Macaca fascicularis: one gene and its partner. The protein of the gene in region 1 interacts with the protein of each later gene in a pairwise test. Links are inferred from orthologs where the notes say so. Each region holds a gene or a part of one and is shown on either strand. Other genes may lie near its edges.

The links.
Region 2: the proteins of AP1M1 (region 1) and TGOLN2 interact in a two-hybrid assay, tested with the Homo sapiens proteins (2 studies listed by BioGRID). The link is inferred for Macaca fascicularis from reciprocal best matches to the Homo sapiens genes AP1M1 and TGOLN2.

Annotation. Positions count from the first base shown.
Region 1 is NC_088393.1:16,518,895-16,523,315, forward strand, and holds the start of AP1M1 (AP-1 complex subunit mu-1), read left to right. Parts: upstream 1-1,495; 5' UTR 1,496-1,592; coding exon 1,593-1,634; intron 1,635-4,421. UniProt on the Homo sapiens protein: Subunit of clathrin-associated adaptor protein complex 1 that plays a role in protein sorting in the trans-Golgi network (TGN) and endosomes.
Region 2 is NC_088387.1:36,275,344-36,278,985, forward strand, and holds part of TGOLN2 (trans-Golgi network integral membrane protein 2), read left to right. Parts: exon of another isoform or gene 1-1,279; intron 1,280-1,341; coding exon 1,342-1,446; 3' UTR 1,447-1,478; exon of another isoform or gene 1,479-1,634; intron 1,635-2,578; exon of another isoform or gene 2,579-2,811; coding exon of another isoform or gene 2,812-2,951; intron 2,952-3,208; coding exon of another isoform or gene 3,209-3,368; intron 3,369-3,571; coding exon of another isoform or gene 3,572-3,642. Other genes in the region: all-trans-retinol 13,14-reductase-like, read right to left, coding at 2,812-2,951, 3,209-3,368, 3,572-3,642. UniProt on the Homo sapiens protein: May be involved in regulating membrane traffic to and from trans-Golgi network.

The DNA of each region.
Region 1 (4,421 bases):
ATTACCCTTATCTTGTCTCCTGCTAAATCATGGAGGTTTGGGGGAGTTCCTTCAAACCCCAGTAAACTTGTTTGTGGAGCCCTGAGGAGCTTCTTCAGACCTCCAATAAAGTTTGTTTAATCCTAAAAGCGTCCTGCTAAGAATTCCTTCGTTATCTTGTCATGCTCCAAGGCCCAGGAAAAGCCTAGGCACAATTCTGGGTGGGCTTTTGTTACATCCCAGCCTTTGTACAAGGGCACTGGCTCTCTCGTCTTTTAATGTTTAACTTAACCCTTGTAATCCCAGCACTTTGGGAGGCCGAGGTGGGTGGATCACCTGAGGTCAGGAGTTTGAGACCAGCCTGGCCAACATAGTGAAACCCCGTCTCTACTAAAAAGACAAAAATTAGCCGGGCGTGGTGGCATGTGCCTATAATCACAACCACTTGGGAGGCTGAGAGGCAGGAGAATTGCTTGAACCCGCGAGGCAGAGGTTGCAGTGAGCCGAGATCGTGCCACTGCACTCCAGCCTGAGTGACAGAGTGAGACTCCATCTCAAAAAAAAAAAAAAAAAAAAGCAAAAAGCCTCTCTTGGCTGCTTGCTCTGTGCCTTGTGCAAGAATCCTTCCAGCCCAGGATCACTTAGTAGTCCTCAAACATTCTAGTTTGCTTTTCTAGAGGTTCGGTCACATTTCTATCCTAAGCAAAGACTATATAATTACCGAGTTGCAAAAATCATCTCTCCAAACGCCAAAACGGAGATAGGAGGGAAAATAAAAGATGTGAGAGGCAGGCATCCTGGGTAAACCACTCTGATATTGCAGGGTTGGGATCCCCAGGGTACTGTGATGGCTAACTGGAACAGAATGCAGGTATTTCTCCAAAGCCCAAGATTTCATAAAAGCAAATTAGATATGATTCAATGGATTAATCAAGGGCCACCAGTTGCATTACCGACTACTAACTTTGCAGAAATGAAACACGGTATGCTGGGTCAAGGTTCAGTGAGACTGGTTTTCTTAACATTCCAGGCAATAAACAGGCATGCTCATTCACTGATAAAAGTTGACAATGACAGGTGGTGACTGTTGATAAGGTCTGATTGCCATTCAGAAAGTTTGACCTCTTTCCAAGTAACCACGGCCTTACCTCTCCCTTTTGAGCTTATCACAATTGGTGACTGTACACTTGTTTCATAGACTTCCCCACTAGACTGTGAGCTCCATAGGGCTGGGTCCCAGGTCGGTTTCACCACCAGGCTCTCTCGCCTAACTCGGCCGACGGGAGGCGGTTTTCAGCTGCTCTGGCTCCATAGCTCAGCCTGGCAGCGGCCAGTGGGTGCCCTGATTTGGTCGGCCCCGCCTCCCAGGGCCTTACTTCCGGGAGGCTTCAGGCGGGAGCAAGAAACATGGTCACATACAACGTAATGCGCCTGCGCAGAGTCCGTCCTGCGCCTGCGCATTCCTGGCAGCTCCTCCCGGACCGGACATAACGGTCCCCGCGCGGCTCCCCGAACCGGAAGTGGAGGTGAGCTGTCGCGGGCGGCGCCCGGCCTTGCTCAACGCCTGGCAGTCCCCACCGTCGCTGCCGCTGCCGAGGCCTCCTGCAGCCACCATGTCCGCTAGCGCCGTCTACGTGCTGGACCTGAAGGGCAAGGTAATGAAGGCTCCCCACCCTCCCTGTTGCCAGGCAACCGGCGGGGGCCTCCGCCCGCGGGGACCCACCCTGTTGCTAGGTAACCGGCTTATGAGCCCCACCCTGGTGTGAGGCAAAGAGGCCGGTAGACCTCACCTGAGAGCCCCACCCTATTTCTGGGTAACCGGGCGGGGGTCGTAAGTGGGTAATCCACGCCCTGTTGCTAGGTAACGCGGTGGGCTGCAGCCACCGCGTTGCCAGGTAACCGACTGCACCGCCCTCTGCTCCCAGGCACCCGGGCCAGAGGCTCTGGGCTCGGTGGAGGACCCAGAAGCGGGGCCGCAGCCGGCCTTGGAGCCAGGCAGGGTGTCCAGGGGCTGCGCGACCCTTGGCCGGGGGTGGCGAGGCGTGGCGGGGACTGGGTGCTCTCCAGCCAGTCCCGCCCTCTCAGGGCGTTGCAGCTTCTGTTTATCGTGCACTTTCTCTCAGGAGGAATTTCTCCACGTTCATTGCGATAGTGAGTTACAAGGGTTAGGTGAGTGGATGGTGATCACGAGTACCGTTTTATAGAGGGAGAAACTGAGGCACGGAGAGGTGAAGTAACCTGACCAAGGTCACAATGGTCACAGAGAAGTAGGAAGTCTAGGAGTCCGATCCAGAAGCATTTGTTTATTTAGCTGATATCTGGGGAGCACCTACTAATGCCAGGCAGGATAGTAAGCCTGGGGTCGATTTGTGTTTAGCAAAAAACAATCCTGCTTTTTTTTTTTTCTTTTTGAGATAGTGTCATGCTCAGTCGTCCAGTCTGGAGTGCAGTGGTGCGATCTCCACTCACTGCAACCTCTGCCTCCTGGGTTCAAGCAATTCTCCTGCCTCAGCCTCCCAAGTAGCTGGCATTACAGGCACCTGCCACCACGCCCAGCTAAATTTTGTATTTTTAGTAGAGACAGGGTTTCACCATGTTGACCAGGCTGGTCTCGAACTCTTGACCTCAAGTGATCCAGCTGTCTCAGCCTCCCAAAGTGCTAGGATTACAGGCGTGAGTCACTGTGCCAGGGCTCAACAATCTGTGTTCTTATGACGTTCACAGGCTGATTGGGGAGATGGATACCGATCTCCAAAAACACAAATAAATGTCAGTTGCAGTGGGGGGGTGGGGCGGATGTGTTATACAGACGGTCAGCCTCAGCCAGAGGATGAGAGAGGGTTTTCCTAAGGAGGGGTGACAAATGGACCTGAGATACCAGGGAGCTGGACATAGACTAGAACCCGGGCATCTTCCCCAGAGGATCTGAGAAAACTGAAAGAAGGGATTGTCCCCGCCTTTTAGAAATGGTCCTCTGCCTTCTCCCAAGTCCATCCCAGGTACAAGGCAAGTGGCTGCCTGGCCTGTTGCATGTGGAAGCAACAAGCACCGGTCCAACAATGTTAAACCCAACATTGGTCAGTGAGAGAAACAAACGTGGGTGTCAGGTCCTAGGTGAGGCGGGCAGGGGTGAGCCCTAAAGCAGCTGAGAGTGAAGAGGTGAAGTGGCTGCCCCTTCCTGTCCCACCCCACCCCCACACTTTCCTGAAGTCCCTTGAGTGGGTGCCTGCCCTGGAAGCCAACCAAAGCCAATAACTGGTGAGATCCAGTGCTGGGTTTCCTTCCCCCGCCTTCTTGGAAGCAGGGAAGACACCCGTCTTAGATCACGCCAGGGGCTGGGTGTGTGCAGTGTACCCTGAGTCCTGGTGACATGAGTCTTGCTTCCGCACTGGCCACTGCCTCCCCAGAGGTGCCAGCGGGCTGCCTGTCTTGGCTGGCTTATTCCTTCAGCAAACATTTCATGAGCACCTAGGATGCACCCTGTCCTGTGCCAGGCATAGGGTGTCCATTGGCACCGTGGCTGTGGTGTTAGGGCTGAGCTCAAAACCCATCTCTGCTGCTCAGCTGTGTGACCTGGGACAGGCACCTTCTCTCTGAGCCTCGCTTTCCTCACTGGTCAAAAGAGGCTTTCATGGAGTTATTGTGCAGATTTGCCGAGCAGATGTGTGAGACAGGCTCAGCACCACCCATGGTCCATGTTAGCTTTCCCAGGCCTCTCGGTCTAGCAGGGGAGTCCTCTAGAAGCAGAGACATTACCACACAGTTGGATCCAGGCAGCCACAGGGGCAGGAACAAGGTCCCAAGTCCTGCAGTTGCTCAACCTCGTCTTTAGCCAGTGGAAGGTGGAGGTGGTTATGAAAGGCTCCCTGGAAGAGGGCAACGCCGGAAGTGGGTTTGGAAGGTGATCAGGCACGATCTGGTGGAAAAGAGGTATTGCAAGGGGCAGCCTGCTGGGGCCGCTGAGCCAGAAGTCCTGGCTAATGCTGAGATGGGAGAGAGGGACCAAGGGGACCACTTCATTTCCAACAAGGAGCCACCGTGAGGAGACCATAGCCCAGAGAGGCATGATCAGACCTGCCTTTCAGAAAGCTCCCCAAGGCAGCCATGGGCTTCCCTCCCTCCCTCTGCAACCATGATGCCCTTTCTTATTCCACAATCCACGGACCTCCTGTTTCCAAAGTCGGCCTCGTGAGCCGACTGCATTTCATCAAAAATAAAGCACACTGAGAAATTCGTGGCCACGTGTCTGGTCACCGAGGACACTGGCGTGGCCACACTGGGCTGGAAGGAAGCTCTCCTAGTAGGAAGCTTCTCCGCTTTATCTAGCTGGCTTCTTACACCACTAACCACCACTAACCACCTCCTCTTCAGCGCTCCCTTCCGCTTCCGGGAGGCTGCGCTCGGGGGTTTCCTCCTGTTTCTCGCACCGCCTGCTCTCCTCC
Region 2 (3,642 bases), on another chromosome or scaffold:
TGCACCTGTAGTCCTAGCTACTAGGGAGACTGAAGCAGGAGAATTGCTTGAATCCGGGAGCCGGAGGTTGCATTGAGCTGAGATCATGCCACTGCACTTCAGCCTGCCAATAGAGCGAGACTCCGCTCAAAAAAAAAAAAAAACAAAAAACACAGCACTGAAGAAAATACCACACAGCAAAGGAAAACTTATTTTCTGCAAGGTGTCTTTTCAAAGATAGAATGTTTGAAGCATGTTTCCTGGAGATTGTGTGGATGAGGGTGAGCTGGCTGAAGCGTCGTTCAAGCTGGGGGGTGTAAGAAGCACGTGCAGCCACAAGAGGCACCTCCTATAGTCAGCTAAGGGCTTCCCTTTCTGCACCCAGCTTTTGGGTGAAGGGTGATTTCTGTTAGACAAATCTGTGCTTCAGTCATAGATGTTAATAGAGGAAGCAATTTTCCTGCTGCAGATCCCTGAAGAGAGTTGCTGAAACAGTCTAGTTCCAGACTCAGGGGAGGTCGAAGGCCAGTCTGTAGAAAGGCTGAGGCAACGGGGAAAGACTTGACAGCTAGTTACATATGCTCTGACATGGTACCCCCATGATGGCTTCCAGTGACACATGTGCTGATAGAATTCTAAACCTCTGGAATTTCCCTGCTGGTTAATTCTGTGGCCCTTGACTGTACAGGGTGACCTGATGCCAGATGCTGTGGGCGTGATGAGAACTAGAGAACTTGCAGTGTGGAGGAAGCTGTGTGAGGCACCAGACCCTGTGCTTCTGCAGGCCATTTCCTGAAAACCCCTGTTAGAAAGGTTGGGTTTAGTGTGACTTGCTTGAGCAAGAGTCCTTGGGAGAGATTTTGAGGTTTAATTTAACAGTATCTCCAGAGCTAACAGTGACTCCATTCAGCTAGTTCCGCAAGTCAGATGTAAACTTAGAGTCTCCTTTGTGAAGGGTTTGGGTCTGAGCTGTATAGTACGTCAGTGGGTAAGCCCAGCCCTTCATCCTCTGATAGATACCCCTTTAATTCACCAGACTTCATGTTCGATACATTATTAATAGTTGAAATTGTTTCTCTTCTTTTGTATTTTCCCAGTTAATAGATGGCTACTGTTTCCACAATGTTTTATATTTTCAGCTTTTTGTAACTTAATTACTTAATTTTATTTTTTTAAAGCTTGTTGCGGTCTAATGAGAAGTATTTTTCAGTGCATAATGTTTTTCCGAGCTTCTGTTAATGCCATCCCAATGTAGTTTTGTTGAACAGAAACCAAAATAAATTTCAGAATGTTAAAGCAATGGATTTAATACATTATTTTATTTTATTTTATTTTAATTTTATTTTATTTTTTTTGAGATAGAGTCTTGCTCTGTCACCAGCCTGGAGTGCAGTGGTGCGATCTTGGCTCACTGCAACCTCCACCTCCCAGGTTCAAGCGATTCTCCTAACTCAGCCTCCTGAGTAGCTGGGACTACAGGTGTGCACCACCACGCCCAGGTAATTTTTGTATTTTTAGTGAAGACGCAGTTTCACCATGTTGGCCAGGATTGGTCTCAATCTCTTCCTCGTGATCCGCCCACCTCGGCCTCCCAAAGTGCTGGGATTACAGGCATGAGCCACGGCACCCGGTCAATAAATTTATGAATATTACATTAAGATGAACTACAATAAGACCTTTGGCATGTCAGTTTAACATAAGTGAAAGGTCCTTTTTATGCCTTTTGAGCCTTCCTTCACCTTCCATCCAACACACACGGTACCAGTAAATTACAGATGCCATTTCTGAGCTTTGCACACTTTCTCTGGCTTTCCATGTTCTGCTCCTGACCAACTCTCCTACCACCTGACTCCTCCCAGCCTGGCTGCCTCTGTTGCTTTCAGTAGCTGGGCCATTGCTGGGAACACTCTGTTGCCTCCCTGTGCTGTCCCCTGCTGTGCCGTTGTCTGGAATGCCTTGCAGCCTGCCTCAACACAATAAGGTAATCTTCTAACCAGTCCATGACCTGACTCCTGATGTCACCCTTCCCTGCGTCACCCTTCCCCACATATTTGGAGGATGAGGCTTGATTGAGGCTCAGGTACTGAGCTCCCTGAAGGTGCCTTGATGCTGGCACATCGAGAACCAGATGCCACCCCGATCATAAGGAAGGCAGACCCAGGACTTCCATATGAACTGGATATGATCATCTGACGTGCCCCCTAATAACTGATGGATCCCGCTGTTACTCCAAAGCTCCAGACCACACCGGCCCAGACACAGGCATTTCCCGTGCCCTGAAGAGCCACTGAACCCAGAACAAAAGAGATCTAGAGCTCTCCAAACCTATGGAATGGCAACCAAAACAATGCCCAGGTTTTGAGTTAAGCCTCATTGGTCTCCCTTCTCCCTCAACAGTGTAGAACTGTGCAGCACAGCACTAAGTGAATGAGAGCAGAAGCCTCAGGACAGAACTGAACCCACCAGCTTGAGCTGACAACACTGCCAGGCATTCTATCCACCGATGGAATTTTCTCTGATCACTGAGTGAGGAGGTATGGGTGAGCGATGCAGAGCGCTGCCTGTCATGAGACATCAAGCTATCCAAGTCAATATCCTGTTAGTAGGGACGGGATGTTATAAAAGGCATAATGATCTCACCTGCCGCAGCTGGAAGCAATGATTCCATTGCCCCAGATTCGGAATTGTGATTTAAACTAGGCCTCTCTTCAGGAATCAGAACCAAATTAGAGTGCCTTATATGTGCAAGGAACTAATGCAGAAAGACATGGGTTAAGTCAAGGGAGATGCCCCAGCCATTGGGCAGATTCCTCTGACTCCTCCCTGATGGAACTAATTCTTCTTCTTCTGTGCCTGGATCCTAGAGCCAAGATCCTTAAGGTCTGAGTACAAGTTCCGCTTCAGGATGGCACTGCTGCACAGCAGGGCACCTTGCAGGGCCCCGACCAGCCCACAGGTGAAGATATCCTGGCCTAGGAGGCAAGAGCAGAGGCCCCTGAGCGTGACCCAGGCAGGCCCAGGGGAGGGTGGGGCCCTGGTGCTCTTCCCTCCACATGAGGGCCACCCAGAGCTGGCTCCAATCAGGACCAGGGCCACAGCCTGCCCAGGCAGCCCTGCTCAGGGGATGAGAAGCTGCAGGGGACAGCAGGGCCTGAGGACAGGAAGAGAGGACATTGGGCGACAGGGGCCCAGGGTCTCAGGTCCTGACAACATGGGGCAGTGAGTATACCTGTCAGGTAGAGGTTGGGGATGGGGCTCTGGGCCCTCAAGGAGGCCATCACACGGGGGTGCAGGCGGCCCAGGTCATGGTCAGCCCCGTAGCAGGCACCTCGGGGAGCAGCCAGATAGAACTGGTTGGTGAGTGGGGATCCTGCAGTCACACTCTCCACCTGAGGGCACAAAGGGTGGGGCGGGCACGTGAGATCCTGGCTCCCCTCCCTCTTCCACTGTCTCCCATTTGCTGACTGTGGGTATGGGTGCCCTGTCCTTCCCTGGGGCTCATGTCGTGGGGCCCAATTCCCCTGTCTTTGCAAGGAAAGGGCAGAAATGGCACCATGAGGTCTGTCACCACCCCAAATATTTTACCCCCTACCTTCCCTTCCAGCTGTGGGAACAGTTTCATGACCACTGACATAGAGGCTTCCACAAAGGAGTTTTTGAAGG